Linked DNA regions of Caenorhabditis elegans. The protein of the gene in region 2 purifies or fractionates together with the protein of the main gene of each other region. This does not show direct contact. Each region holds a gene or a part of one and is shown on either strand. Other genes may lie near its edges.

Region 1 (7,748 bases), on a different chromosome or scaffold from region 2:
TGCAATTTCGCGGCAGCGATATCTCGCCACGAACAGTGTCGCGCCTTGTTCGATTTTACTCTCGCCTCGTAAACAACCCATTTTTGCTTGTTTTTCACCGATTTTTGGTCATTTTTCAGAGTTTCTTATCGAAAAAATCATGTCAGACGCCCACTTTTCAATGACAAATAGTTGTTCTTCGAAAATTCAGTGTTATTTTGGCCTAAAATCGGCTAAAACTCTGGTCATCAGATTTTTGTTTACTTTGCCGGTTTTTTCCTGTTTTAGGCCATTCTTCTGGAGTTTTCTATCAAGAAAATCAGTAAATCAACTGAAAATCAGAAAAGCAACCTTATTTTCGAGGCAGAATTATCGATTTTTGAAAAATAATTGTTATTTTGGCCTAAAAACAACTTGAACTCGCCCTTGAACAATTTCTTCCTTTTCTTTGCCATTTTCTCTTTATTTCTGAGTTATAAATCTTAATATTTCCTCTTTTAGCAAGAATGGGCGTCGACAGACAGATTCTCGTCGAGGGCGACAACGTCACCAAGCCAAAGAACGGTCAGACCGTCACCTGCCACTACGTGCTCACCCTTGAGAACGGAAAGAAGATCGACTCTTCTCGCGACCGCGGAACTCCATTCAAGTTCAAGATTGGAAAGGGAGAGGTCATCAAGGGATGGGACCAAGGAGTCGCCCAGGTTTGTCCATCGATTAGCTCAATTTCAATATAAAAAATCAACTTTTCTTTCAGATGTCAGTTGGTGAGAAGTCGAAGCTCACCATCTCTGCCGATCTTGGCTATGGACCACGCGGAGTTCCACCACAAATCCCAGCCAACGCAACTCTCGTCTTCGAGGTCGAGCTTCTCGGAGTCAACTAAGCTGCCCGTCTCCGTTTGCAGCTCCGTTTTAGCAGCTGCCGTGTGCAACCTCTCCATAAATGATATCAATTTTTTTTAATGATTCCAAGTTTTCTTTCTTTTTCCCCCCTTAATTTTCTCTGTAAACTAAATATTTCTTCCTATCTAAGTAGCATAAATTATTTAATCTTTAAAAACAAAATGGTTTTTCTCTGTGCGTGTTGACGTGGCGTTTGTGTGTCCTTGAAGTCGAAATCTCCGATTACCTTGCCAATTTTACTCTTTTATTCTTTTCTTTTTCACTTTTTTGCCTCACAATTCATTCGTAATTGTGTGCGCGGGCGATCCTTGCGTAGCGCCCGTCTTTCTCAGAAGACCATCTGTTCTCCATTTTCGAAACAATTCAGGCCTCCTGTTCATTAGAAATACACAAGACGAGAGGCGGAAGACGCCTCCCCTTCGATGATTCATAGTTATTTTTATCATTTCAGATTCCTCCGCCCAGTGGGATGGTTTAAAAATCATTGAAATTCGCCATTTTTACACATCTTTTCTTGAAAAATCTCCTCTTTTTTGTCTCCAAAATTGATTTTTCAGTTTTTCCGACGTTTTTCCACTAGAAATTGGCAAAAGCCAGCGAAAATTGAGCAGAATTTAGCTAAGAGTACGGTAGTCGCCTAAGTACGCAGAGTTGCGTACGATGCATTCCATTTGACGCGCAAAATTTTCTGATCGCGAAAAAAGATTTTTGACCTCAATTTTTTGATCTGCCCGCCAATTTTCGTCGTGTTTTTCGAGAACTGGTCGAAGAGGATGACAATTTCTTCATTTTTCCACTTTTTTGGCCGGTTTTGTGACGTTTTTACCGATTTTCCGCAGGTTTTTCACAAAATTCTCGCGTTTTCTCCCAAAATTGATATTTCCAGCAGTTTTTTCCGCGTTTTGTCTCGGTTATTGCCAGAATATATTTTCCTCATTCTCTAGCAAATATTCGCTAATTTTCCTGATTTCCACCCTATTTTCTTCCGGAAAGTTCAGTTCGTTCCATTCTTGCTTTAAAACTGTAAGGAAGGAGCGGAAATAGGTGATTCAGAAAGAGTTTTTTATCAATTTTCGGCATCCGATAACGTCGTGAATCGAGAAAAATAAAAAAGCTATAAAAATTATCACATAGCGTAAGATTTCGACTAGAAAACTCTCAATTTTCCTATTTTTTTTGATGAAATTTCAGCTCACAGTGAGTGTTTTGTAGAAAAATGTAAAATTTTCCCCATTTTCCCCATTTTCCGCTTTCTGGAGTTTATTCGTTCGATTTACTGACAAAATCTTCGGGTTTTCTGCAATATTTATAGAAAAATCCGGCCAATGCTACGAAATTTCTGTTTTTCGCGGCTCTTTTGACTATTTCGTGACTTTTTTGGGGCTTCGATCATCAAAATTTCGAATATTTTTATGATTTTTGAGCATTTTGATGTATTTTTTTTCTTCTAAATGACTTTCAGATCTCCTTGGCAGAAAAAACTGCGAATATTATAACAACTTGAAGCTTCCTCGACGATTTTTGGCGACCTGCTGTTCCATGTGACTCACCATTCCAATTTCGCAATCCACTGGTCATTCTCGGCATTAAGATCCATTTTCAGCGCTCAATTTCGCAATTTTCAAAGCTAGAAAGCTTTGTTCAAATTGAATTGTTTCGCAACTCGTCTTCTATCGCCTTTTGGTTCTCTTTCTCCTCCGTCGTCTTCGCTGTGTTCTCTTCAAAATGATTCATCATTGGCTTTGGTTGTGTCTCTGGGTCTGTGTGTTCAATATAAATTGCAACTGCATTTGACATTAGTATGGATTGAGGCGGGTTATTTCACCCTCTTTTAGTAGTACACACACATTCAATTTGATGGGCGGTCTCTGTCTCTCTTTTCGTCCTTTATGGGTGAATAACTGACCAGCGGAGCAAGCAGGCAGGAGCAGGAGCACAAGCTCGTTGTTCGGGTTGAAAAGGGGAAGAAGGAGAGCACCAGATGGCATGCAAACATTCTCTTTCTCTTCTTCTCTCTATTGCTTTTCCTCACTGTCATTCACTGCTTCTCCATTTGCCCAGCCAATTAGATGGAGTGTTCCGGGTGGTCAAAGATGTCCTCTAGTTTTCGTAGCAATTTTCATCTTTCGGAATTTGAAATTGGAAGTTTTCTTTAATTTCTCTCAATTTTGGGTCATCTGGCGATTTTATGCCATTTTTCTTGTGAAATTAAATTCTCAGATTGCTCTAGATAGTTCAAATCCTCTAGTAGTTGAAAATTCGCCTCAAAACGTTGCTTTTTTAAAAAGAATTCTCCCTTAAGTTGGTCCTAATTTCTCGAGGCGAGATCTTCCAAAAGCTGAATTTTTCCAAGTTTTCTACATCTGAAACTCGAAATATTTACTATTTTCGTAGTTTTTGGTAGTTTTCGGTGTTTTCGAGCTTCAATTCCGCCTTTTTGGCCTGAAAATGGTCTGAAAATCATCGAAAATTGGTCAACTCTAGGTAAAATGCCAATTTTGGTTTAAATCGGCTCAATTCACAGAAAATTTCCAAGAAATTCATGAAAGAAGCTCAATTTTTGCACTACATTGGCGAGAAAATTGTGAATTTAGTGAGATTTTGTTGGTTTTTGTCATTTTATCCATTCGCAAGTTCTTCGCCACCAACTTACACCACAGATAAGCAAAAAATCTGCGGAAATATCAATTTTTGGGTATTTCGGCATTAAAATTCCATTTTTTGCGCAGTAAATCAAAAAATAATCGATTGTTTACAAAAACCGTAATTTTCAAGCGATTTTATGCTCTTTTTCTCCTAATTTGTGCTCTTTCTTCATATTATCATTTCTCATTACCCCTCCAACCATCTCAATCATAATTTATGTTTATTTTTTCAGTATAATCTCCGCTTCAACCTCCTCCAAAACACAAAAATGTCCGGATGGAATGCCTACATCGACACAATGACTGCCGCTGCTCCATCAATCAAACGGTGTGCAATCGTCGGAGCCGCTGATGGATCTGTCTGGGCTCGTACTGAGGCTGACAATGTGTTCAAGGTATGGAAATGGACGAAAATCATCGAAGAAGCTCGAGAAAAAATCGATTAAAACTGGAAACGATTGAAAAATCCTTAAATTGACCCATTTTTGAGATTGAAAAGAGCTAGCGGGGTCGATTTTTGTTGGAATTTTCGCATTTTGACCCAAAAAACTGAAAATCTCGCGAAATTATTCACTTTTTGAATTGAAAATCGAAATTTTTAGCCGCTGAATTTACATTTTACAGGAATAATTAGCAAATCCACTCAAAAATTGCAAAATTTTCATTATTTTTCGAACAAAATTAAAAAATTCCAGATTAGGCAGGCTTCAGGCGGCCGTGCCTGCCTACCAGCCCCTGTTTCTCATATAGTTTATACTTCTTCGAAACCCAAGTAGGCAGCAGACAGGCTTAGGCTACCTTGAAGGTCAGGCAAGTTACCTGCCTGACTACCTTCGAGGTGGCCTGCCTGATACCTACATTAGAGCCTACTTGTATTTCAGCCGCCTGAAGCCTGCCTACTCTGGAATTTTCTAAACTTTTTTTTTTCAGATTTTTCAATTTCATGAAAATTTAGAGTTAAAAAGCGTTAAAAAAAAAATTAAAATTCGAAGATTTTTTCCTGCAAAATGTAAATTCACAGACTGAAATTTGTGATTTTCCAGTATCTCGGCCAAGAATAAGCCGATTTTTTTGGAAATTTCAGTGTTTTGAGGCCTAAAAATGCGAAAATTGGGGAAAAAGGCTAACTTTAGGGTTACTGGATTTAAAATTTCGAATTTTTGGAAATTTCAAAGCGCAAATTTTTTAACAAGAAATATTTCCTGTCCAAAAACTTCTCTAATTTTTTCCAATTTCCAGGCATCCGAAGAAGAGCTCAAAACCTTCGTTGCCCTATTCAATGACGTCACTCAAGTTCCAGCAAAAGGAGCCGATATCGAAGGAGTTCATTACGTCGTTCCACGTACCGAAGAATCGCTCATCTTCGGAAAAAAGGAGAACACTGGATTCTTCGCTGTGAAGACCAAGTCTGCAGTCTTGATTGCTGTCTACGAGGGACCAAATGAAGTTGCTGCACAAGTTCGCAAGGCTGTCGAGAGTATGCAAACCTATCTCAACAATGCTGGATACTAAATACTTCTCTCTCTATCGATTGTTGTTCGATTCGTATTTATTCCCGCTTTTCTCTATTTTTTTTTTGCAAACTTCCCCCTTCTCCCTTCTCCCAAACCTTGATTTCTACGAGTACAACGATGAAATTCGGTTTTCTTCCGCGTAATCTTTCCCTCAAAACTCCCATTCCCAGAGCAAACACAGAAACAGTTTTTATTTCACTTTCAGCTTTATCATAATGTATTGTATTCCCCCGTTTTGTTTTCTAGTAAATTCATTGCCAATTCAATGCCTTCTCGATTATTTCATTTTCATCTCCCATCGACGGAGAAAGAGAGTGAGAGAAGAGTTTTGTGCTCGGAGCAATTATCGCGTGTTTTTTTCGAAACCACGCCCACACTGCAATTGTGCGGCGCGGTTTTTTGGTCAGAATCATTTTACAGATTTTTATCATCGTTTGCAAAAATCGTTTAGAGAAAAAAAACTCGGAAAAAGATGTCTAGAAAATGAGGGAAAAACAATTAAAAAGTAATCACATTTGTCAAATGAAATTTTCCACAATATCTTACGCGAATGGGTCTCGCTAGGCAGACAACACGGTTACTGTAACTCCTGTCGGTTTACAGTAACCTGTTGCCAGCGTGGCGAGACCCGTGGGAGTGAGATATGGCGGAAATTTTTATTTTTCGGCGTCTTCGTATTATTTTTTATGAGAAAACCCATAAGAGTACGTAAGAAAAAATGGCCGAAAGTTTAAGCTTTTCGAAAATATGGAATTTTTCTATATATCGGAAAATCATAAATTTTCGTCTCAGAAAAGGGTGCCGTTTTTCGATTTTTCAATGTTTTTAGGGAAAATTTTCGATTTTCCGAAAAATTTCATTTTTAGAAAAATCAAAAACCGAAAAAACTGCTCATTCCAGTATGATAATTCAACTTTTTTAAATTCATAATTAAAATATTACGTATTTGGCGCACAAGATATGTCGTAACGAAAACTACAGTAATTCTTTAAATGACTACTGTATGTCGATTTACGGGCTCTATTTTCGTATTGGATTATTTTTCAATGCTGGTTTCCTTTTCATAAGGAAACTCCCAAAAACGGAAAATAATATTTACGAATATCGCTGACACAATTCGAAAAGTGATTAATTTCGATAACCAAACCCGTAAATCGACACAAAGGGCTACAGTAGTCATTCAACGAGTTACTGTAGTTTTCGCTTCGAGATATTTTGCGCGTCAAATATGTTGTGCGATACGCATTTTCAGAACTTAGTGCTACCGTAATATAAACAATTGGAAAATGCTTTCCCTATCGAAAAGTCTGAAAATGACTTCAAAAACCGTTTCAAATCAATATTTATGCAATTTTCAATAGAATTAATCAAATAATCAACCGATTTCTGTAGATTTTGCATCAAAAATCGTAATTTTCAAGCTATAAATGCCTGGTTTTGAGTGATTTTATGCTCTTTCTTCATATTATAATTTCTCATTACCCTTCCAGCCATCTGAAATCTTTCATTTTTTCAGTATAATCTCCGCTTCAACCTCTTCCAAAACACAAAAATGTCCGGATGGAATGCCTACATCGACACAATGACTGCCGCTGCTCCATCGATCAAACGGTGTGCAATCGTCGGAGCCGTGTGATGTGCGGAAAGGTCCTGGAAATATTATTTGCCAGGAAATGTACTTAAAATGAACCAACTGCAGTATTACTCACACACGAAATTTGGCAATTTTTGCGTAAAACACGGTCTCGACACGACAAGAATGTTTTGATTTCGAAGAGTTGTGCGCCTTTAAATAGTACTGTAATTTCAAATTCTTCATGGTGCATTGATGTTATTTTTCTCAGAACACCTATTATACAAAAAAAAATCGATGAAAGCAACGAAAATTTAAAATTACAGTACACTTTAAAGGCGCACGTTTTACTCGTTTTCAACGAAATTTGTCGTGTCGAGACCGGGCTACCGTATTTTCGCCAAAAAAAATCACGTCGAGTCTGGGTAATACAATTTTTGGCCAAATGGCGCAGTGAAGAAATTCACGACTGAGAATATACACACCGGGGTTCGAGTCCGCACTGTGGTCGAAATATTTTTGTTGCTTTTTTTACATGTTTATTTTTTGGATAATTCAAGGGTGCGGAACTCAAAAATCAGTGTATTAAAGCCGAGAAAAGTCTGAAAAATCTGAATTTCAGAACTTTATGAAAATCATAAAAGTACTTAATTCGACCTATTATCTAATTTTTCCAATTTTCAGGCATCAAATCCTGGAGCAAATCGGCGGTCTCTGAGCTTGCACTGAGGCTGACAATGTCTTCGAGGTACGGATCGGCTGAAAAATTCAATTTTTTAGAAAAAAAAACTCGATATAAATTAAAAGATCTGCCAAGTTGCACAGTTTTCGAGCTCTCAGCACAAAATTTCAAATTTTCCAAAAAAAAATTTTGGAGTATTTTGGAGTTATCAGTGTTTTTAGAATTTGAAAAAAACCGGAATTTTTTTGAGAATTACAAAATTTTCAAAATCTGGATATTTCAGCAAAAAAAATCCAAATCGCAATTTTTTTTTGGAAAATTTGAAATTTTGTGCTGAGAGCTCGAAAACTGTGCAACTTGGCAGATCTTTTAATTTATATCGAGTTTTTTTTTCTAAAAAATTGAATTTTTCAGCCGATCCGTACCTCGAAGACATTGTCAGCCTCAGTG
Region 2 (7,373 bases):
ACAGTTATACAGTGTACTGCCGATATTTCGACAAAAACGGAAAAGAACATGAAAAGCCAATGAAAAGCTTTATTTATCCGTTATTTGTTGTGATTTGTGATCGAAAATCTTCAGAAACTCATAAAGTTGCAATAACAGATGGACCAAATGGAGTAGTGCTGGAACAATTTCAGATGATTGTTACTCGATGGAATGGTTTGAAATATTTCATCAATACAAAATGTGTAATTCGATTATTTTTCAGCAAGTTACAAAAGAATGTTGACTCATTGTTCGGCTCCTTTATTTGGACAAGAACCGAAATGGATGCATCTGGTAGAAATGATCGAGCATTATAAATTACAGGTTTGCTTAAAATTTTGCATAGATAGCTTAGTTTATTTATATTAAGTTTTTACGTTAAAGTTTTTAAAACAACCATTTTACCTGCTATTAAAGAGGCATTCATTTACCTCGTACATGTACCGAGTCGATTTTTTTTCAAAACTGATTATGTTTATTTCAGGCATAAAATTTTTGTCTCGCTTTGTCAAATTTTTACTTTTCAGGGTGTCACCAAGTTTTACTTTTACATCCGAGAAATCGAATTGTATGATATGTCAGTTCTTCAACACTATATGGCATTTCGAGATGAAGTTGAAATTATTCATATTCCTTCAATCTACTTTGATGCAGTCTCTCAACAGTATCTAGCAATTGCGGTAAGCAACTACCGTATTTTTCTATAAGATCAGTTCAACTGTTTAAATATAAACAAATTATTCAACATACCAATTTTACACTTTTTTTGAACTCCAAAGCCAACCAAGATGTTGTAAACTCAAAATAATGCTAGTGTGATTAATGGGGGAAATACAGTCCTAAAATTCAAGAAAATTCAGATATTTTCAGGACTGTCACTTGCGAAACCAATTATCAGCCAATTGGACAATCTTTTCCGACATTGACGAGAGAATCATTTTGACTGATAGCAAGACAACTATTCGAAATTTTTTACAAGATTCAGTCAGTGAGAAGTATGGAGGAGTTATGTTCCCACAGCGTTGGATATTCAAATATGAAAAGCTGCCTGAAAAGTTTATTAATCCAGTACAGGTATTGAAAGAGTACAGATTTTTGTAAATGAAATCGCTCATTCTGTTTTCAGATAATGCAAGAAATGCCGTCAAGGAAATGGGAACTTACAACTCAACCATGGCTCAACTGTACAGATGGAAAACATTGCTTCTCAAAAATGATAGTGAATAATCAAAAAGTATTACAAATGATGATTCATGACGTCGGAGAGTATAATGGGAATTATCAGACTTTGATTCTTGATCCGAAAATTGGATATATAAGGTATTAAAACAAATTTTTTCAATATTTTCATTAATACTAACTTAGTTTAGAATAAGTTTAGAATAAATTTGAAAATTAGCTTAATTTTGGATTTTGCAACGCCGTAAAAAAGTTTTAAAATTATTCTGAGAAGTTTCATTACGAAATTCGTTTATTCGAGCACATTTTAAATCTATAAATTTAAAATAGTACGTTAGTGCTCCTTTAAGAGAACGGTTAGGAACATTGAATTTGATTTGATTTATTTAACATAACTAATGCAATTTACAACTGTACAATTGAATTTTGAGTGTTAAATAAAACGGTAAAACGAGACTAACCCAGAAAGAGTACGTCTCGAGTTTGGGACGGGAAAGGAGAGAGAGGGTAATGTGGTAGAAGAGATCAATTAGAAGTCAAAGAGAACCAGCGGAGAAAAGTTAATACCGGGGAATATTGAGATCGAGAAAGTTTGAAAACTGATAGGGGGAGAGAAATACCGGTATATTTTTGACAAGATTGTTCCAAATAGGAATGGATTTGGCAAAGAAATGAGAGGTGCATGTGTCTTTCCTAACCAGAATCATGGGTCTCCTATTGGAATTAGAGAACTTGACAAACTGAGTTAATTTAGAGAAATGAGTAGAACCGGTAAGAAGTCTATATAATAGTTTCATTTGAGCTTTAATTCTTGTGTGTCTGGTGGAGAATAGTTCCATGATGCACAGTCTGTTTTCGTAAGAGGTGAATTTAACGTTGCACCTTTGCAGGACGCGTTTGGTGAAGGTCCTAAGCGGTTTTTCAAGTATGGCAGAGAGTGAGGAGTTGGGGGAAGGGGAGTAGATCTCAGAGCAATAGTTTATGATGGGGGCAACGTATGTTTTAAATAAGTGGCTATAAAACTTATGGGAGTTAGAGGAGAACGCTTTGAGAATTTGCTTAGCCCTTAGCATGGCTAGGCAGCTAATTTTTATAATATGAGGTTCAAAGTTTAATTTAAAATCCGTGATAAGACCTAAATCGCGGACTGTGGAGGATGGAAGAATGGGGACATTATCCACTCTATAGGTGTGGTTGGAGTTACGGGAACATTCCCTTTTGATAAGTACTAATAATAAAATGTAGTTTCTGAATAAAAAGGTTTTATTCAGAACCTATGTGTTGAAGTACAAGACGTTTTCATAGTTTTGGTTGAGGTCTGAACAAATTAACTAAAAAGAGAAAATGAGCAATTCGTAAATCTATGTAGGCTGTGCGAACACCAAATACTAACACTTATAAACTACATATGTTGAGCCATCACAGTGTTTTATTTCAGGCACTATCGAGATGTAAATATGGGAAAATGGTGGGTGAGAAATAAGGACGTACTTGAAAAACTGAAGCCATACGAAAATACCACGTACAATTTACGTCTCCGAGACCAACTTCTAACAAATGTTCTTCAAATTCTTTATGCAGTTCATCGACCGTAAGAAGAATAAAAAGGGTTGAAATTCATCACTATCACTTTGATCTCAATTGTTTTATGTCCATATAAACTTTAACTATGCAAACAAAATGTGTCGTCATTAAAAATTCTTATTTCAAAAAATTTTAAGATCAATTTGGTAACGGAACTCACAACCGCTTAAACTTTCCATCACACGTTCGTGATCTCTCCAACGAAATGTGTGCAGCATGCCGGTTTTCCTTTCCGTCTGATAAGAGAAAAGAGCTGTCTCTAAACCTCCTAATCATTCTTCACATAATACTTCCTTATCACGGCAAGTACAAAAACTCGTCCCACTTATCTGACATTGTCAGTTTGTCTTCTTCATTCTCCCCGAAATGCTGAAACTCTTCACGCTTCTCTGCGTGGTTTACACCGCCTATGGTCTTGTCCTCCCAGCTTCTAGTAAGTTCCGAATAATTTGGCACTGACTCTCTCACATCATACATTTTCAGTGCTAGCCAGTTACACAGATGCATTTGCCAGAACTCAAATGCTTGCTCTTGCTTCAGCTGCATATTCCTCTAATCCACAACATTGCCTTGACTCTAAATTCACAAACGCTAAGCTTCAACGTCAAATTTATGTGAAGAACTGTGCTTTAGTGAGCAACGATGTGTGCTCTGGATACACTGCTGTTCTTCATAACGATAAGGCAATTGTAATAAGTTTCCGTGGAACTCAAGGATTTTTCCAATTGATTTCTGAGGCTAACAAGAGTGTCTTTGAATCACAAATGTCTTGGATCGCCGGAGGAAAAGTATCTAAATATTTTGGAGATGCTTTCACAAAAGTTTGGGCTGCTGGAATGAAGGATGACTTTGCAACTCTTCTGGCCGCAAACCCTGGATATGAAGTTTGGGTGAGTTGATGACTTTGATAAGAATATTTGCTCTTTTTGTTACGTCAATAAAAATGGAAATCAAATAGTTATTAAATTATATGATTAAAAAATGTTCAGGTGTCTGGACACTCTCTCGGAGGATCACTCGCTTCGCTCGCAGCATCTTACGTCATCGGAACAAAAATGGTTGATGGATCCCGTGTGAAACTTGTCACCTACGGAGAACCACGTACCGGAAACAAGGATTATGCTCATGCTCACGATAATCAACTTGCATTCTCTTATCGTGTCACACATAACCGTGATGTTGTTCCACACGTTCCAAATGAGGACTTTATGGGATATTACCACAACAAGTATGAGGTCTATTACCGTGAGAATATGAAGAGCGGTGCAAAATTTACTATCTGCAACGGTGATGAAGATAACGGATGCTCTGATGGGCTCTGGATCACTACATCAATCGATGATCATCTTCATTACTTTGAGAAGGATATCAGTGCATGGGGAGATAAGGGATGTAACTAAATTAGTAAATTTTGTATTTTTTTGAATTTTTCTGTATGTCATAATAAATATGAGCTCCTAATCTGAATTTTTTTGCTTTCACTTGTATTGCTCCAGTTTTCTCACAGTGTTGTTCACAGAAATTATCACGTCTTTTGGCGCCGACTCCAAACCTGTCATTGAATTTGTCAAACGGGCTCCAGGCCCACGATTTGCTTTTTTTCAAAGATTTTTTTAAAACTAGAATTTCAGTCAAATTTTGAACGGTGATTATCAATTTTTTGTGTTTATATTATTTTTTAAACATAAATGAGTCAATTTGTAAAGTTTAAAAAATTGGGATGTTTGATTTTGATGAAAAATTTTTTTTTTGAAATTTGGAGTAAATTTTTATTGGCAAAAACCATAAAACTAATTCAGTGATCAGAAAGAAGAGTAGGTCCTGTATACTATGTATAATTTGTTGTCGTTGATGCAAGCCACTGAAACAAAAATTGAAACAGAATCCGAGCCTTGTGCAAGTTTGATCAAAGTTTTTGAAACAGTTTACCCAAAACCTTCTGTTTTTTTTAGTTTGGATGACATTGTCAAGAGTTAGGGTAATTTAGATGCAGTCCCAGCATTTTCTTGTCCAGTGGTTTGTATTCTGCCTGCAGATTTTAAACAGGCTAATTAAATAACGATGTTCTTTTTCAGAAACTCAAAAAATTAACATTTAAACTTTTAATATATTGCAATTAGTTGAACAAGTCAAAGTTCTTTGAAAACAGCTTGCATCATTTTAGCCCCGTGAGCATGAGCTCCGAGAATGAGTGAAGTTCCTCCGTCGGCAACAATTGTTTGACCAATAATATAATTGGAAGCGTTTCGATCGGCAAGGAAGGCAATCACTTTTGCAATATCTTCTGGTACTGCACAAAATCCACGTGGAATGCATTCCCGTTGAGCACCGAGATAATCGTAGAACTGAAATGATATTAGATTTTACATTATTTTAGAAGAAATAATTACAGCTTTTGATTTTTCCTCTGTCAGACCTCTCGAAACAGCTGAAAATCCAGTAGATACAGCTCCAGGGCTCACGGAGTTAACTCGAATCCCTTCAGGAACAAGATCGATAGCAGCTGTACGAGTATATTGATCTAATGCAGCTTTTGCAATTGAGTAATATGGAGATGCTACTTGCTGAAATCAGTTACAGTTATATTTAAGTTAAACGTATACAACAAACTCACAGCAGCTGGTCCAGCTCCAATGCTAGAAATATTTACGATTTCTCCTTGAGTTTTTGCGAGATGTGGGCGTGCTTTTTGTGTCATTTCAATTACACTTTGCACGTTTAATTCAAATGTTTTATGATATGTGTCAATTGATTGATTCACTCCACTTTTGCCTTGAGCATCTGGAATTCCAGCTCCAGCATTATTAACCAAAATATCGATTTTTCCAAATTTATCCAAAGTTGACTTGATCAGGTTTTCTTGAACACTTTCTTGGGTGATATCTCCGACAACCACAAGAACATTTCCTTCTGGAACACCAGCACCCAATAAAATATTCTTCGTCTCTTCAAGTCTCTCAGCATTTCTTCCAGTTACAGTAACCTTTGCTCCTTCGGAAGCAAGAAGACGAGCTGTTGCCTGACCAATTCCATTGGATGAACCTTAAACTTTTCATTTGATTAAATATTGAAAAATGTTGAACTTACCAGTAATGATAGCAACTTTATCAGTGAAGCGAGACATACTATTCGAATCAAATAGTTGACGAGTGAAGTTTCAATTTTTCACAAACTATTATATATTTGAACCGAGGAAGAAGACGCAGATAGGTTGAGAATGTATTATAAACAAAAGTAAATAAGACGACGGCCTTGTCATGCTCATATTTTGTGACTTTGTGCTCGAAAATCATTTGTTTGGGTGGTAGACCACAAATATTTGAAACCTTAAATAAGAAGATCATAAAGTAACTCAGAACTAGAGAATAGTTGAGATTCCAAACTCCAATTAGAATTTCGGATTTCAAAATACCAAAACTTAATCTTAAAGCTGCAAAATTCATAATGAAACTGTTGAAAAATGCGTCGAAAACATTTATTTCTGAAGATAATTGAAACAAATTTTTTAATTGGTGTTTAACTTTTTAATTTGGAACTTTATGCATTTTCAAATAAAATGTAAAAATACTAACTATGAAAGTCATGCATCTCATTTTTAAAAAAAATGCCTTGTCTTTAATATTACGCGTGAGAATCACCAATACGTAAATCCACGGGGAATTGCGCGCCACAGCATGTGTTCACAGTTTTTGTTGTCTGTTATCCAGAGAAACTTCTTTTCATCTATCAAATGTCTCGTTCTGGAGCTATAATAATTGGATTATTTTTCATTGCATCAATTTTCGATGTTTTCAGAGGTGGGAATATATCGCATTTTATGTAGGTCAAATAGATTTTTCAGCAGAAAAAGAACCGCCTGCAGAAGATTCAAGACTTGAAGATTATCTGTCTTCCGAGCTCGAAACCACTGCAATTCCTACTGTTGTTAATGAAAATTCCCATTCGCAAGACGTAGTTGATTCTGGTTTCTCCAAAGATTTGCCAAAACTAACGATTCTCTATTGGTTCGTGTTTTGGATTTTTTTGAATATAAACTTGACAATTGTTTTCAGTGTTTCGTGCGGTTACAAACAAGCATTCAATCAATTTTATGAATTTGCTAAAGAAAAGTATCCAGGCTTGGTAATCGAAGGCGGAAATTTTTCTCCAGATTTTTGGAAAGGATGCCTTGCTCAGGTTTTGTCAATAAATCATTCAAAATAAAAATAAATTTTTTTTTTCAGATTGTTGGTGTGGCAAAAATAGGACTAATTGCTATTGTTATAACTGGATCAAATCCTTTTGAATATATTGGCTTTGGATATCCACAAATCCTACAAACAGCTCATTACAACAGGTTTTCATATTCTTTGCTGGTATTCATGATTGGAAATTTATTTGAATCAACACTCTCTTCAACTGGAGCTTTTGAAATATTCTTGGGGGATAAACAAATTTGGAGCAAGATTTCAAAAGAGCGTGTACCAACTCAAGAAGAATTTTTGAACCTTATTGATCTTCAATTGAAAACTATTCGTTGATATGTATACTTTATTTTCATTTATTTACAATAATAGTACATTTTAATTTAAAGAAATAATAATTCGACG
Region 3 (7,783 bases), on a different chromosome or scaffold from region 2:
TGTAGAATCTGGAAAGAAAATCAATAATTTTTGAAGTAAAATCAATGAATAATCGATAATTAATCGAAAAGATCGAAATTTTTTTTCAAAATATCGATAATTATCGAGAAATCCGATAATTTCTTTAAAAAATCGATAATTTTTAAAAAGAAAATTCAGTAATTTCTCATAGAAATCATCAATTTTTTGGAAGAATCGGTGATTCTTGAAGAAAAAAAATCGATAATTCTAACTTCCGAATTTATCGATTTTTCGGCAACTCACATTCCATTTTTCTGAATAACTGCAAACCAATGTCGTCCCCTGTACAATGTGAGGAGGGTCCGTGATGGAATATTAAAAACCACTGCTTTCACATTTTCCATATTGATTTTTTCGACTGAAACACGCTTGTCGAACCACATTACCTGGAAAAAATCGATAATTATTGATTTTTCGAAGATGCGGAAGATCGGAGCATCGTTGTTGTTCACCTTTAAATCGTGTTTTTGAAGCGCCGCCATCAGGATATTCGCATCGTAATTTCCGGTTCCTATCCAGGATCTGAAAAAAAATTGTTGAAATTTGATTTTTGAAAAAATAAATAATTTTTCCATTTTTTCAAGAAATTATCGATTTTTCCGGAAATTATCGATTTTTTTCAAGAAATTATCGGTTTTTCCAGAAATTATCGATTTTTCCAGAAATTATCGATTTTTCCGGAAATTATCGATTTTTCCGGAAATTATCAATTTTTCCAGAAATTATTGATTTTTCCAGAAATTATCGATTTTTCCAGAAATTATCGATTTTTCCGGAAATTATCGATTTTTCCGGAAATTATCAATTTTTCCAGAAATTATTGATTTTTCCAGAAATTATCGATTTTTCCGGAAATTATCGATTTTTCAGGAAATTATCAATTTTTCTGAAATTATCGATTTTTCCAGAAATTATCGATTTTTCCGGAAATTATCGAGTTTTCCGGAAATTATCGATTTTTCCGGAAATTATCAGTTTTTTCTGAAATTATCGATTTTTCCAGAAATTATCGATTTTTCCGGAAATTATCAATTTTTCTGAAATTATCGATTTTTCCAGAAATTATCGATTTTTCCGGAAATTATCGATTTTTCCGGAAATTATCAATTTTTTCTGAAATTATCGATTTTTCCAGAAATTATCGATTTTTCCAGAAATTATCGATTTTTCCGGAAATTATCGATTTTTCAGGAAACTATCGATTTTTCCGGAAATTATCGATTTTTCCGGAAATTATCGATTTTTCCGGAAATTATCGATTTTTCCAGAAATAATCGATTTTTCCGGAAATTATCGATTTTTCCGGAAATTATCAATTTTTCGGCGTACCTATGTGGATTAAACCATTTACTCTCATTAAACGCATAGCAAATTTCGTCCATTTTTGTCGGATCAAATTCGGATTTTTGTAGAATATTGTTAACCGTATGGATAAGGCAGTATTGAAGACGTTGCTTTTCGTGATAAATTTCTGGTGATGACGTCATCTGGAATATAAATCTAATTGGGGTATTGGATGCTGAAATTTTTTCTATTTTTAAAATGTCGTCGAAATCGTAAATATTTTTTTTGCAGTTTATCGATTTTCTTCTGGAAAAAAATCGATAAAATATTGATTTTTATTCAAAAATTTCATGAAAATTATCGATTTTCTATGACTAAATTATTAACTTTTGTGCGAAACAAAATCGAATTTTATTTGAAAATCGAAATTCGAATTTAGTATTGATTTTTCAGAAAATTTATTCAAAATATCGATTTTTCCTTTTTTTTAATTCAAAAAAAAATCAAAAATCAATTAAAAAAAATTAAGCATAAAATAGGGCACATCCTCTTTTTGAAAAAAAATCAAAAAATCAAAAAATCCATCACCAAATCCTTTATATAAACTGAACAAAATTTTTTTTTTAAATAACAAAAACCATAACCCCAATTCAAAAAATCGTCTAAATATCACAACAAAATGGCGGAATTTTCAGCACAATAAATAGCCAAAAAATCGATAATTTAGTCTTCCTCAGTGAAAAAGTCCTTGACGAGATGCTTATTGGCAATTTGTCTCTCCAAAAGACGTTTTGCCTTGTTTCCAACTTCCAAAAGTGTCGGAATACATGTCAATTTGAGTGTTGGATCAGTACGGAATCCGACAGCTGGGTCACGCCATCTGAAAATTTGGAAATTTAGAGATTTTTTGCAATTTTTTTCAAAATAATTTTTTCCGAAAATTTTTTCTTTGAGAATTTTTCAAAATTTTGACACAGTATTTCGTAATTTCATTGATTTTTTTTTCAAAAAAATTGATTTTTTATAATTTTATAGATTTTTCGTAATTTTATAGATTTTTCATAATTTTATTGATTTTTTCTTTTAAAAAAAATTGATTTTTTATAATTTCATTGATTTTTTATAATTTTATTGATTTTTTCCAGAAAAAATTGATTTTTTTTATGATTTTATTGATTTTTTCTTTAAAAAATTGGTTTTTTTAAATAATTTTATTGATGTTTCTTTAAAAAACAATTGATTTTTTATAATTTTATTGATTTTTTCTTTAAAAAAATTTATTTTTTATAATTTTATTGATTTTTTCTAAAAAAAATTGATTTTTTTTGGAAAAAATCAATAAAATTATAAAAAAATGAATTTTTCCAAAAAAAAAAATGATTTGTCGTAATTTTATTGATTTAAAAATAATTGATTTTTTATAATTTCATTGATTTTTTATAATTTCATTGATTTTTTATAATTTTATTGATTTTTTATAATTTTATTGATTTTTTATATTTTTATTGATTTTTTTTTTCAAAAAATTGATTTTTCGTAATGTTATCGACTTTTTCCAAAAAAAATTTGATTTTTATAATTTTATTGATTTTTTATAATTTTTTGATTTTTTAATAATTTTATTGATTTTTCGTAATTTTATTGATTTTTTCCAAAAAATATTGATTTTTCGTAATTTTATCGATTTTTTTTTACAAAAATCCACGAACACTTCACGATTTCCGACGAAAACAGTGACAAAATGGACATCGAGTCCGGCGACGGCGGCGTCCTTGATCACTTCTTCGACAACTGGCTCAGCTGAAATTCAAATATATTATTTTTTTAATTTATAGGCAGGCGTGAGGTGAGCAGTAGGTAGGCATAGGTATGCGGTAGGCAAAGGCAGGCACACCGTAGGTAGGCATGTAGACTGTAGATAGGTGAGTAGGTAAGCACAGAAGCGGCAGAGGCTGTTAGCAGATAGGTACGCAGGGGATGAGCTAGGCGGGTAGGTAGGCAGGTAGGTAGGCCATCAAAATCTCGTACCAACAACACAATCCGGGCACCAAGACTCTCCGGTTGTCAGAATTTTGGATCCAGTGAACAGAGCGACGACTCGTTTTCCTTTTCCAATCGATTTCAGTGTCTCCTGAAATGCTTCGTATCCCTGAGCAGTGTAGTGTTTCAGTCCGGTCATCTGGAGAAAAAATTCATGAAATTTTCAAATTTACCACAAATTTTCAACAAAAAAATATTCGGAAGAGACATGAAAATCCTTTAAAAAACCCGAAAAATGATAGGATTTTATTTTTTTTTCTGCACTTTTGCACAAAATTTTTGAGCCATATTCCAAAATTCAAATTTTAAAATTTTTTTCTGAAAATTGGAAAGAAAAATTTTAATTTTCCCAAAATTTTCAGTGTTTTTAGGAATTTCTTATCGAAAAATTGAGAAAAAAAAACTATAAAATATTGAAAATATTTATTACGGGAACTCAAAATTTTGAGAATGCGTATTTCACAACATATTTGACGCGCAAAATATCTCGTAGCGAAAACTACAGTAATCCTTTAAATGACTACTGTAGCGCGCGGTTGTGTCGATTTACGGGATCTCGATTCTGTTAAATGAGTTGAATCATTTATTTATCGAGTTCCCGTAAATTGACACAACCGAGCTACAGTAGTCATTTAAAGGATTACTGTAGTTTTCGCTACGAGATATAGTTATATTTTGCGCGTCAAATATGTTGTGAAATACGCATTCTCAAAATTTTGAGTTCCCGTAATAAATATTTTCAATAGTTTATAGTTTTTTTTTCTCAATTTTTCGATAAGAAATTTCTAGAAACACTGAAAAATTTTGCGAAATTTAGAATTAATTTGCGGCAAAATTCATATTTTCGAAAAAAAATTAAAAAATCAAATTTCAATTTTTTTTCTAGAAAATTTTAGAGAAAAAAATAATAAAGTAAATAAAATCTTCGGAATTTCAAAAACCGATAAAAAGCAACAAAAAAAATTAATAAAAAAATTCAAAAATCCCCAATAATTTATTCCATTCAAAACAAGGTAATCTATTTAAGCAATCTCTTGAGCTCAGGCTTCGTCGATGCATATTCATTGATTGTAACACGGGCAGTTGCTCCAATTCCAACACGAACAGCAGTTCTAGACAACCAATGAGCATTCGAATGGATTCCATCACAAATTCCACGCATTTTCTTCACTTTTAGAAGAGATGAGCACAAAAGAATGACAGTTATAAAGCTGAATGTTATTGGAACAATTGAAATCAGCACAATCCATGAACTCATTTGCTCGAATTTCTGCAAAAAAAAAGAGGTTTCGGGGGGTTTTTACCTACGCCTGCCTTATGCCTAAACCTTTTGCTTTTGAAAATACGAAAAAAAAACGGAAAATTGGCGAAAAATGGCTGCCTACTCGCGTGCCTACCATTAAATCAATTAGTATTTCTTAACTTTTACTTGGAAAAAAAAACGAAAAAATCGTTGCCTACCTGGCGCCTACAAGCGTGCCTACTAGAAAGTTGGTATAAAATCACATTTAAAAAAAAACAATCACATCACATTTGCCCACCTGCAAGGCGACCAACGCCTATTGGTTCGGCGTACCTGCAGGCAGATAGTTAGGGCCTGGTAGGTTGGTTTCGGTAAAAAAAAAGCCATACCTCAGCACATCCGTCGACCATTTTGTTTCCCGTTCCTTTTTGTGCAAAAAACGTGTGAAGAACAGGAGAAAATAATAAAGAAATGATTGAAAATTGGACGGGGGATAACTATTTTCAAAATTTCGAGAAAAAAAAAACGTAAAATTTTAAAGAAATGAGAACAGCCACGCGGCACAACAACAACAACAAGAAAAGTGGAGAAAAATCAATAAAATTAACGAAAAAAAAAACAACGTGAAGCAGAAGAAATGCCTGCCTACGCCTGTAGGCAGGCAGGTAGGTAGGCACCGATTAATCTCTCCATTCAACGTGAACCTGATCCGTTCTATATCGCTGGGTGGTTGTGGTTTTACGAAGGTCGAAACGCATTCCGGAGGCTGAAATTGACTTAAAATTACAATTTTTGGGATAAAATTATGTCAAAAATCGCGAATTTTTGCATTTTTCGGTTAATTTTTTAGTCAAAATGCGATTTTCAGATAAAAATAAGTGAAAAAATTGATTATTAATGCAATTTTCGAATGAAAATCCTGGTTTTTTCAGTGAAAAATCGATTTTCCAGGTGAAAATAAGTGAGAAAATTGACTTTTAATGCAATTTTCAGACAAAATCCCTTGTTTTTTCAGCGAAAAAATCGATTTTTCAGGTGAAAATTCGCAATTTCTTCAATAAAACACACACTGCATACCCAACATGAGCTCGCCGGCTCTTGCAATCATTGCACCGTTATCAATACAGAATCGTTCATCAGTTGCAAATAAGTGAGCACCTCTTTCCGCACACATTGCTGATGCCATTTCCTGGAAGAAAATCGGTCAGAAATTCGATGATTTTTCCAGTAAAAATATTCAAATTTTTGAACTCAGCGCGGCGCCGAGACCTTCAATTTGACACCCAACAATTGGGTCTCGCAACGAAATATCGATTTTCCGACTAAAAAAACTTAATTTCAAAGTATTTTTCGCAAAAAATCAAAGGGAATTATTTATTGCCTCTTTTCAATTTCTTGTACGAGAAAAATTCAACACTCAAATAGTCAAGACGTGGGCGGAGCCTATTTTCGAAAAGTCGATATGTGGGCGGAGCTTGCTTTCAGTAAGTCAAGGTAGGGGCGGAGCCTATTTTAACAAAAAAACCAAAGTTTGGGCGGAGCCTATTTTCGAAAAGTCGAGAGGTGGGCGGAGCCATTAAAAAGTCGAGATGTGGGCGGAGCTTGTTTTCAGTAAGTCAAGGTTGGGGCGGAGCCTATTTTAACAAAAAAAACCAAAGTTTGGGCGGAGCCATTAAAAAGTCGAGATGTGGGCGGAGCTTGTTTTCAGTAAGTCAAGATAGGGGCGGAGCCTATCTTCGAAAAGTCAATATGTGGGCGGAGCCTATTTTCGAAGTCAAGATGTGGGCGGAGCCTTTTTTCGAAAATTCAAGATGTAGGCGGAGCCTATTCTCGAAAATGCGAGAGGTGGGCGGTGCCTATTTTCGAAAAGTCGAGATGTGGGCGGAGCTTGCTTTCTGTAAGTCAAGGTAGGGGCGGGGCTTATTTAAAAAAAAAAAAAAACCAAGATTCGGGCGGAGCCTATATTCGGGCGATTTCCACTCCGGAGATTCGAATTCCACGAAATATTATTTTGCTGTTTTGGCGAATTCACATCTCCAGAAATTAAAATTCCTAAGATAGGCTCCGCCCACTTCTTGGTTTCCCATTTTTCGGATATTTCACCGTTTTTTTTTTGTTGAGTAAAATCGTGATTTTTTGTATTCAAATCAACAATTCTATAAAAACGCCAGAATCGAATAGGAGCTCCGCTCATTTATGGTCTCGCCACGAAAACTACAGTATCCCTCCCTTTTCCTTTTCGTGGCAGGACCCAATTTTATCCAAAACCATCGTAATCTAGCCGATATTGGTTTCATTTTAAAGATCTCGGCCAGAGCGCTGAATTTGAAAATTCAAAAAAACATCCTCGATGGGGGAAATCTCCGCCCACTTTGGGTCTAGCCACGAAAACTACAGTAACCTTGCGATTTTCTTGGCAGAACCCAACTTTGTGCAATTTTAAAGCTCTCGATGCGTAGAATTCAGAAATTGAAATAAATTCAAGTTATCATTATCTCTACCTGCAATCTCAGATTACATCCAACCCCGCCAACAATGAGCAACTCCTTGCTCGACGTATGAGCCATTGCTCTTTCGGTAATCTCAATAAGCATTGCAAAAACGGTCTCTTGAAGTGAGAAACACAAGTCTTCCGGTGTAAAATCCCCAGATTCGATGAGTTTTGGCGCTTTTTTCTCGATAAGTGACAGAATTCCTGAGAGTGAAACATCCATTCCTTTCACAGAATACGGTAGTTCCATAAGCTTTTTTCCGTTTTTCGCAAGCTGCTCAATGTTATATCCCGGAGATGGTGCATTCGGGAGCTTGAGAACACGGGCAAATCGATCCAAACAGTTTCCGACGGCAATATCGATTGTTTCACCAAAGATTCGGTATCTTTTCTTCGTATATGAGATTACCTGCAAAAAAATCGAATAGAAAAATATGAAAAAAATCGAAAAAAAATTTTTTTCGCTGAAAAAATATTTCCGCCACAACCGGGGCTCGAACCACGGTCTCGTGGGCGTAAGAAATTTTGCGAAAAATCTTGAAAATTGGCCAAAATTCATAAAACAACCGTCTAGATAGGGGTTATCAACGATGCTGACTCTAAAAAAAATCAATTTTGAGTAAAAAATATGAACATTGTTTCTGAAAATTAGGAAACAATCAAAAAATTTTGCAATAAAAAAATTCCAAAAGTTTTGAAACAGT
Region 4 (8,890 bases), on a different chromosome or scaffold from region 2:
TTTCATGTAAAAATAAAGTCTAAAATCAGAACTGAATAATGTAGAGCCATTTTTGGAAATTACCGAAAATTTTGAAATTTCCTACCTAGCGAAACTTGCGCGTAGGATATGTTGTTTTCCGTGCCGATTTTATTATGAATTTAGTTTCGAACGGAGCAACTCTATGTCAACAGTAGAATATCGTGCTTTTTCAATGCAAAAAAAATCCGAAAATTCTAAACTTTCCTATCAAGTCCTCCCTCCCCCACTTGCATCATCTAACCCCGTCATATCGTTCATTAGACCTACCGCCCATTCCTCCTCTCTTCCTTCAGAAAATGGCCGAATGGTGTGCCGATCATTTGCGCAATTGCGAAGGCTGGAAGTCGGCTGGTCTGGAACTATCAACTACGAGTGATGAGAATGCGAAATGGTTGGATGCCTGCATTCGACAGCTTGTGTCCTGGTCGGATTGCACCAGTTTAGGCGGATTTCATACATCGATCGAGAAGCTTGTGGCTTCGGATCCTGAAGCAAGTTAGTTTGTTTTTTGTTTAGCACTTGGAGTCTCTGAATTTTCAGTTATGGCCCGAACTTTCCTAGTGGGCCTCTCCGGGCTCGGCACAGAAGCCGCTGCTCGAAATGTCGAATTTGCCAAGAAAATGGATCAACTAGAAATTGACGCTGAAAAGTATGGAAACGCCAGAGAAAAGCGACATGCCAAAGCAGCGATTTTGTGGGGAAGAGGGTAAGGGCTCCTTTAGGAGATATTTTTTTGAAACTTTCCTGTTTTTCAGAAAGCATCATGAAGCTGCCATCGAGTGGGACAAGCTTCTAGATGATTACCCAACAGATTTAATTGCAGTGAAGTTCTCACACGATGCTCATTTCTTCAATGGAAATCAGATAGGGAAGAAGAACGCAATTGAGAAGGTTATCCACAAGTGGAATGCAGATTTACCATGCTATAGGTGAGATTTAATTGTTTCTATTTTCGAAATATTTTAGTCTCTAAAATTGGTTTCATTTTAAAATAGCGCCATCTACAACAAGAAAACTGTCCTAGTAAGCGCTGCGTTCAGATTTTCCGAATTTCAAAAAACCAATGCGTCTAGAGTGGGATTTGAATCCATCTAAATAAAAGAGGTTATGGTTCATAAGGTCTAGGAGTTCAAGCTAGGTTCAGGCCTATTCACAACTAAATATGAAAATTAAAACAAAAATAACTAAATAGGTTTTATATCTACATGCTTCGAAACCGGCTTCTATCCCCAACATTTTTTTTCTTTAGCTATCTCCATGGCATGTATGCTTTTGGCCTTGAAGAATGTGGTATCTACGATGATGCTGAAACACAAGCAGATCGGGCCCTACAACTGAACCGATTTGATTGCTGGGCTTCCCACGCAAAGGCTCACGTCCTCGAGATGAACGGGCGGCACAAAGAGGGAAAAGAGTTTATGTACAAAACGGAGGATGATTGGAGGGTACTTTTCAATCTATTCAATTAATTGTAAATATACTTCCCCTTTCAGCAAGGTTGGATGCTAGCCTCTCACAACTACTGGCACACGGCACTATTTCACATTGAGTACGCAGAATATGAGTCAGCGCTGGGGATTTTTGATCGAGAAATTGCGAATCGATTCAACAAAACCAACTCCTTGCTAGACATGGTTGATGCCAGCTCACTGCTGTGGAGGTTAGAACTGGAAGGTGTCAATGTTGGAAGGGATCGGTGGAGGAAGATAGAGCATCTGTCGAAGTTCATCGACAATCACTCAATTGTGTTCAATGATGTGCACCTAGGGCTTGCAATTTATAGACAGGAGGATTTGGAGACGGAGAAGAAGTTGAGAAATTCATTGGAGAAGTATTCATCGTGAGTAACACTATCCAGTTCGCCTTATCCGAAAAGAGAGAAGCTACAAATCTATGAAAGATTTTGACATGTTGTATGTACTTGGTAGGCATGTGGTGTCGAGCTGTCCCATTTCGATTTGATTTACGTAGATCTACGAGAATTGCGGGAATTTAGACGCAGACGTCTTTGCTGATTTCGCATGATAAAGAACCTGCTGACGTCACATTTTTTAGGGAAAATTTCCCGCATTTTTTGTAGATCAAACCGTGATTGGCGAAAATTTAAAAACGTTGTATCGAAAGGTGTTAGGATATGTGGAATTAGATGTGATAATCAGCTCCTAGGTCAAACTTACCACATATCAAACTATCATTTTTCAGGCTGCTATCCGAGGACAATGCCCAAATCAGCAAGACCATCGGGATGCCCCTCTACGACGGGATGCTTGACTTTGCCCGCTGCGACTACGACACAGCTGCCGAGACTATGTACCCAATTCGCGATAAAGTTGTCCAAATCGGAGGATCTCATGCCCAGCGGGACCTTTTCGTTCAGACACTGATACAGTCTTGCATTCTGAGCAAGGATCCCAAGAATTGGGCTTTGACGCCTGAGCTGCTGGTGGAGAGGGAGACCCTGAAGCATGACTCGCTGTTGGGCCAGAGGCTTGCTGATAAGTTTAGAGCTTTACATCCGCTGTGAGTTGGTGGAGAGTTTAAGTTATATTAACTTTATTTATTTTTAATTATCATATTTTTTATACACAATAAAGCAAGTTATTACAATAAAAAGTACATTTAATTTCTTTTAATTTCAAGAAAGTTTAGATATGAGAGCGAGCCTGTTTCTGGATGAGTGCCTTGACACGAGCTCCAAAATCTGGATGAACCTTTGAAAAGTGATCGATCATTCCCTTAATAATGAAATCATGACATTCCCCGAGCGGCCCTGCAAAGTTCTGGCACATTCTCTCCCGAGCCCCGGTATCCAACACCTTCTCCCAGAATTGACGGGGTTGATCATAGTTGTTGTCATCTCCACTTTCATAACGATCAACATCTCCAGTGGCTGGGAATGTGGTATCCTTGACATCCGGACGAGTCTTTCCATAGTTGAAGCTGTTCGGGAAGAAGTTTGGAGCATGTTGCTGATTGTCATAAGCCATTGCACCATCACGCTGGGTGTTATGAGCACGGGAGCGGTACGGGCAGTTGACTGGAAGCTGGATGTAGTTTGGTCCAAGGCGGTGGAAATGAGTGTCGGTGTACGAGAAGATACGTCCTTGGAGCATCTTGTCTGGCGAGAACTCGATTCCTGGGACGATGTGGGCCGGGCAGAAGGCGGATTGTTCAACCTGGAAATAAAGTACTGTAGGATTACTGTAGTTTTGGAAAAACGTTTTTGTGTTTCCCAAAACTAGCTATTCACGTTGAACTCACGTGGTGTCAGAGTGTCTCATTTCGGCTTGATCTACTTTGATCTACAAAAAATGCGGGAGAAGAGACGCAAGGTTTTCAACTGATTTCGCATGGTTAAGAACTTGCTGAAGTCTCATTTTTTGTGCAAAAAAAATTCCCGCATTTTTTGTTGATAAAAAAAAAACAAACCATAATGGGACAGTCTGGCACCACGTGAGAGCTATCAATTCCGTCTTATGGGCCCTAGTTTCTCGTTAGAGCGCAATTGCATGCCTTACCACACTTCACACGGTAGCACAGAAACTAGATGGCTTGGTTCATGATAATCAGTCTAAAAACCTGTATTGGCTGCTATCTCGAAAACTAACCCAAATTTGGATTTTGCGATGCATATGAAAAATGGCCGCAAGAAAATTTACTCGTTCGGTAGAGCACGTTTGCACTCACCTAGCTTCTGTACCACCCTGACTCGAATAGTAATAGTTGTGGTGAATGAGAAGAACCTGCTCTCTTTCTGTGGTAACCCCAAAAAACTTTGGCTCTGTACAGTACCAAAACACAATCCTACGAGACTACCGTACCGCAAGCTCTCCGGTATAGAAACAGTCCGAGTAGAAAAGGGACCGACTAGGCCACCTTAGCGCGCAACTAGGCGGTCAAGCCCAGCCCATTACCTCAGCGAAGTAGTTCCTTGGATTTCTGTTCAGCACCATCTTGCCGACCTCGATCAGTGGGTAATCACCGTGTGGCCAAACTTTAGTGACATCAAATGGATTGAACTCCCATTTCTCAGCTTGTTCGAATGTCATCACTTGAATGAACATCTTCCATACTGGAAAGTCTCCCTTCTCAATAGCATTGAACAGGTCACGGATGGAATAGTCTGGGTCCGAAGAGGCAAGTTGACCGGCCTTCTCCACGGTGAGATTCTTCACTCCTTGAGTTGGCTGAAGTTGGAAATTATAGACCGAAAAATTTAAATAACATTAAGGACCCACCTTGAAATGGAATTTCACATAGATAGCCTTTCCGTCCTTGTTAACCATCTTGAATGTATGGGATCCGTATCCATTCATATGACGGTACCCATCTGGGAGTCCTCGATCGGAAAACAGGAACATCACTTGATGCAAAGCCTCTGGTCTATGAAGCCAGAAGTCAAAGATCATGTTGGGATCCTTCAGGTGAGTCTGTGGATTACGCTTCTGGGTATGGATAAAGTTCGGGAAGTGGATAGGGTCACGGATGAAGAAGATCGGAGTGTTATTTCCAACCAGATCCCAGTTTCCCTCCTCGGTGTAGAACTTGATCGCAAATCCACGTGGATCACGAGCGGTGTCGGCGGATCCGCTCTCACCACCGACTGTAGAGAATCTAATTAGCAGTGGGGTCTGCTTCCCGACCTTGTTGAAGATATCGGCCTTACAGTACTTGGAGATGTCATGGGTGACCTCGAAGTATCCATGGGCTCCGGCTCCCTTGGCATGAACGACACGCTCGGGGATACGTTCACGATCGAAATGAGCCATCTCATCCATATAAACTACATCTTGCATGAGCATTGGGCCACGCCGCCCGGCGGTGAGCACGGCGGTCTTCGAGTAGATCGGAGCTCCATTTGAAGTTGTGATCACTTGGGGTTTCTGAAACAAGTTACTGTAAATAGTAGTTGTTGTTGTAGAAAATGCGTCTGTGCCTTTAAACTCTAAACTCACTGGATACGTCTCCTTGTAGGTTTTCAGTTGATTATCCGATGGATCGTTTGGCATTTTGGTTCTGAAATTTTAGTTAGGAAATTTAGAATTAAATAAAACTCTGAACAAAAAAATGACCACGACGAGGTGTAATACGGAATATGGGTTGGGAGAGACAAGAGAAACAGAGAAAAAAGAAAGAAGATTGTAGCGTTATCACTGATAAGGAACATGTTGTTGGACACCAGACTACGGCATAGTCTCGCTTATTTTGGACAGGCAAAAAAGTAGGGGGAAAGACAAAAATTAGGTAGGTATTGATTATGGGTCAGGGTATACGGGGAATGGATTGATCTACAAATCTACAGATCTACAAAAAATGCGGGAGAATAGACGCAGAGTTTTCAACTGATTTCGCATGGTTGAGAACGTGCTGACGTCACATTTTTCTGGACGAAAAATTCCCGCATTTTTCATAGATCAAAGCGTAATGGGACAACCTGGCACTACGTGGAAAAGTGGTACCTGTACGCAATTTGTCTACCGTATACCTGAACTTTTGGGCTTGTCGTTTTTATCAAAAACGAGTGGCCCAATATTTTTGTGATGTATATAAAAAATGTCCGAAAAAAATAAACTCTAAATTTTTTGGTCCAAAGCTTTTTTCTTATCTTGCGCCTAAACCTGGTTAAACTCAAATTATCAGTAGAGCGCATTTGCATGGATGTACCACTAGCCGGGCCGCGGGGTGTTGCTGTATGGTGCATATGTGCAAACACCATAACTTACGCGCAAATTTGACAAACTTACTGTCAAAAAGGCGCGCTATAAATAAGCAATATATTGACTATTTTGAATTTTAAAAACAAAAAATAATCCAAAGTTGTCCACGAGCAGTACACAGCGGCTTGTAGAAGTATTGCGCGTCAAATATGGTGCATCGAAAAATGATCATATTTTACGCTCAATTTTCACTTCTACCGAACTGATTATTGATGTTTTCCGGCGATTCTTATACTCCCAGTCGCGGTGCTCTGTACAAGAGATGATGACGTCACATGTTTATGATAAGCGATAAGGGAAACCCAAAAATAAAATAAAGTGTTGTGTCGGTCTCGCAGCGATGAAATTGTTGACCAAATTTTGCAATGTTTTCACCAAAAACTACGGTACCCGGTCTCGAAACGACAAATACTGTAACTTTAAACTTTCGTTGACGCGGATTTTTTATCGATTTTTTTTTTAATTTTGTGTTTTTATTGTTATATTTGAGTTGTTTTCATCGAAAAAATATAAAAAATCGATAAAAACTCCACAGCGACAAAAGTTTGCAACTACAGTACTCTTTAAAGGCGCACATATTTTCGCAATAGATAAAAAACTGTCGTTTCGAGACCCGATACCGTAATTTTGGCGCGAAAATTGCTTTTACAGTCTAACTTAAGTTTTCATCTTTAAAAATTGACTGAAACAAAAAATTTTCCAGATTTTCTTCAAACAGGAAAATGATGACGTCACGTGGCCAATTTTCTGCCTGATAAAACGCTATTTAATTTCCGGCTTTTTTGATTTATGTGCACATAAAATTTCTTATCATCAAAAACCAGAAGAAATACAAAAAAAAGAGTTTATAAATAACGAGATTCTATATACAAAAGTTTGAATATCAAACAATTTAATGCTTCTTCTGGCAGAGCTGATGGCGAAGAGCATTTCCGAAATCCGGATGAACTTTCGTGAACTCTTTGACCATTCCATTTTGAATTTCCTCCAAACAGCCACCCAAATCACTAGCCAAATTCCCAACGAGCCGATCTCTCTCCTCCTCCTTGAGCACTTTCTCCCAGAACTGACGTGGCTGCTCGTAGTTGTGATCGTCTCCAGTCTCATAACGATCAACATCTCCAGTCGTCTGAAATGTCGACTCCTTCACATCATCACGAGTACGGTATCCGCGGAAACTGTTCGGGAAGTAATTCGGCGCATCTCCCTGGCTTTCATAAGCCATTGCACCATCGCGTTGAGTGGTATGAGCACGGGAGCGGTACGGGCAGTTGACTGGAAGCTGAATGTAGTTTGGTCCAAGGCGATGGTAATGCGTGTCCGTGTAGGAGAAGATACGCCCTTGGAGCATCTTGTCTGGCGAGAACTCGATTCCTGGGACGATGTGGGCCGGGCAGAAGGCGGCTTGTTCGACCTGAAAACCAAAATAAAAAATATTTTTACTCCACCTTTAAAGCTAGACGTAAAATGCAATTTTTATTGTTCCTATTAGGTCTCCAAATAAGTTCCGGGTCAAAAATCAGAACTTTTTTTGCCTTTTATAGATTTTTTTGAAACTTTGGGAATTTATGTTATCAACTATGACCTTTCATTTTGAAATGGTCACAAAATTTTTTGACCACCCGGAGCGCCCTAACTCGGAGCCATTTTTTTCAGGCATTTTTCAGATCTCGCTTCTTTTCAGGTTTCAATTGAGGTTTGTGTGCGGATTTTGCTTAGTTTAGTACACAATGTAAGAAAACAAAAAAAGTTTGGAAAAAATCCGTCCAAAAAAATTTTTTTTGTCGGTCGTCAAAAAATCTTCAAAAAAATTTTTTTTCGAAAATTCTCGATTTTTTATACAAGAATGATGTAACCATGTGCAAACTATTTTTACACATACAAAACATTTGAGTATGAAATTTGGATCTCGAGAAATACTCCAAGAACTCGAAAATTTTTCGAAAAAGCTGTGTTTTCTGTTATTGTTTTAGTGTGACGCAATAAATTGAAATGTTTTGTATGTGTAAAAATAGTTTGCACATGGTTACATCATTTTTGTATAAAAAATCGAGAATTTTCGAAAAAAAAATTTTTTGAAGATTTTTTGACGACCGACAAAAAAAATTTTTTTGGACGGATTTTTTCCAAACTTTTTGTTTTCTTACATTGTGTACTAAACTAAGCAAAATCCGCACACAAACCTCAATTGAAACCTGAAAAGAAGCGAGATCTGAAAAATGCCTGAAAAAATTGGCTCCGAGTTAGGGCACTTCGGACGGCCAAAAAATTTTGTGACTATTGTCAAATGAAAGATCATAGTTGATAACGTAAATTCCTACAGTTTCATAAAAATCGATACACAGCGAACAAAGTTATGATTTTTGACCCGGAACTTATTTGGAGACCTAATATTAAAAAAAACTAATTCATCTTCACACCACTTGCCTCAGCGAAATAATTCTTCACATTCCTGTTCAGCACCATCTTGCCGACCTCGATCAGTGGGTAATCACCGTGTGGCCAAACTTTAGTGACATCAAATGGATTGAACTCCCATTTCTCAGCTTGTTCGAATGTCATCACTTGAATGAACATCTTCCATTCCGGGAAATTTCTTGACTCAATGGCATTGAACAGGTCGCGGATCGCATAGTCTGGATCCGAAGAGGCGAGCTTTCCAGCGTCAGTTGGATCGAGATTCTTGGAACCTTGAGCAGGCTGAAAAATAGAAAATGAAAATTTAATTCTAGTCCCCGTCTCTCTTAGGCTTACCTTGAAATGGAATTTACAATAAATCGGATTTCCCTCCTTGTTGACCATCTTGAAAGTATGCGCTCCGTATCCATTCATAAAACGGAATCCATCAGGAATTCCACGATCCGAGTAGAGGAACATCACCTGATGAATGGATTCAGGGCGATTCATCCAGAAATCGAAGAGCGCATTCGGATCCCTCATGTGAGTCTGTGGATTGCGCTTCAGGGCATGAATGAAATTCGGAAAGTGGATTGCGTCACGAATGAAGAAGATCGGAGTGTTATTTCCAACCAGATCCCAGTTACCCTCCTCGGTATAGAATTTGAGAGAGAATCCACGTGGATCGCGGACAGTATCAGCGGATCCCGATTCTCCAGCGACCGTTGAAAAACGAACGAGAAGTGGTGTCTGTT

The links.
Region 1: the proteins of F28H7.3 (region 2) and pfn-1 fractionate together in Caenorhabditis elegans (co-fractionation; one large-scale study listed by BioGRID). This does not show direct contact.
Region 3: the proteins of F28H7.3 (region 2) and txdc-17 fractionate together in Caenorhabditis elegans (co-fractionation; one large-scale study listed by BioGRID). This does not show direct contact.
Region 4: the proteins of F28H7.3 (region 2) and ctl-2 fractionate together in Caenorhabditis elegans (co-fractionation; one large-scale study listed by BioGRID). This does not show direct contact.

Annotation. Positions count from the first base shown.
Region 1 is NC_003279.8:12,918,242-12,925,989, forward strand, and holds pfn-1 (Profilin-1), read left to right. Parts: upstream 1-3,762; 5' UTR 3,763-3,798; coding exon 3,799-3,924; intron 3,925-4,768; coding exon 4,769-5,041; 3' UTR 5,042-5,307; downstream 5,308-7,748. Other genes in the region: fkb-2 (peptidylprolyl isomerase), read left to right, coding at 486-683, 737-865. UniProt on the Caenorhabditis elegans protein: Binds to actin and affects the structure of the cytoskeleton. At high concentrations, profilin prevents the polymerization of actin, whereas it enhances it at low concentrations. By binding to PIP2, it inhibits the formation of IP3 and DG.
Region 2 is NC_003283.11:10,746,479-10,753,851, reverse strand, and holds F28H7.3 (Fungal lipase-type domain-containing protein), read left to right. Parts: upstream 1-3,063; 5' UTR 3,064-3,150; coding exon 3,151-3,217; intron 3,218-3,267; coding exon 3,268-3,674; intron 3,675-3,773; coding exon 3,774-4,184; 3' UTR 4,185-4,247; downstream 4,248-7,373. Other genes in the region: gtnt-24 (Glycosyltransferase family 92 protein), read left to right, coding at 5-195, 245-345, 549-701, 892-1,095, 1,148-1,341, 2,639-2,795; F28H7.2 (DeHydrogenases, Short chain), read right to left, coding at 4,914-5,129, 5,175-5,348, 5,399-5,826, 5,872-5,908; Thioredoxin reductase-like selenoprotein T homolog selt-1.2, read left to right, coding at 6,515-6,581, 6,626-6,788, 6,837-6,960, 7,008-7,304.
Region 3 is NC_003281.10:2,830,364-2,838,146, reverse strand, and holds txdc-17 (Thioredoxin domain-containing protein 17), read right to left. Parts: upstream 3,485-7,783; coding exon 3,334-3,484; intron 3,106-3,333; coding exon 3,015-3,105; intron 2,186-3,014; coding exon 2,029-2,185; 3' UTR 1,886-2,028; downstream 1-1,885. Other genes in the region: josd-1 (ubiquitinyl hydrolase 1), read right to left, coding at 1-8, 265-407, 474-543, 1,351-1,508; Y71H2AM.29 (G_PROTEIN_RECEP_F1_2 domain-containing protein), read right to left, coding at 4,364-4,615, 4,978-4,998; Y71H2AM.1 (N(6)-L-threonylcarbamoyladenine synthase), read right to left, coding at 5,269-5,354, 5,666-5,777, 7,090-7,488.
Region 4 is NC_003280.10:14,296,991-14,305,880, forward strand, and holds ctl-2 (Peroxisomal catalase 1), read right to left. Parts: upstream 5,038-8,890; 5' UTR 5,031-5,037; coding exon 4,977-5,030; intron 4,905-4,976; coding exon 4,260-4,904; intron 4,209-4,259; coding exon 3,936-4,208; intron 3,198-3,935; coding exon 2,667-3,197; 3' UTR 2,566-2,666; downstream 1-2,565. Other genes in the region: Y54G11A.7 (Tetratricopeptide repeat protein 38), read left to right, coding at 318-516, 562-727, 777-950, 1,271-1,466, 1,515-1,861, 2,224-2,545; ctl-1 (Catalase-2), read right to left, coding at 6,631-7,152, 8,166-8,438, 8,493-8,890.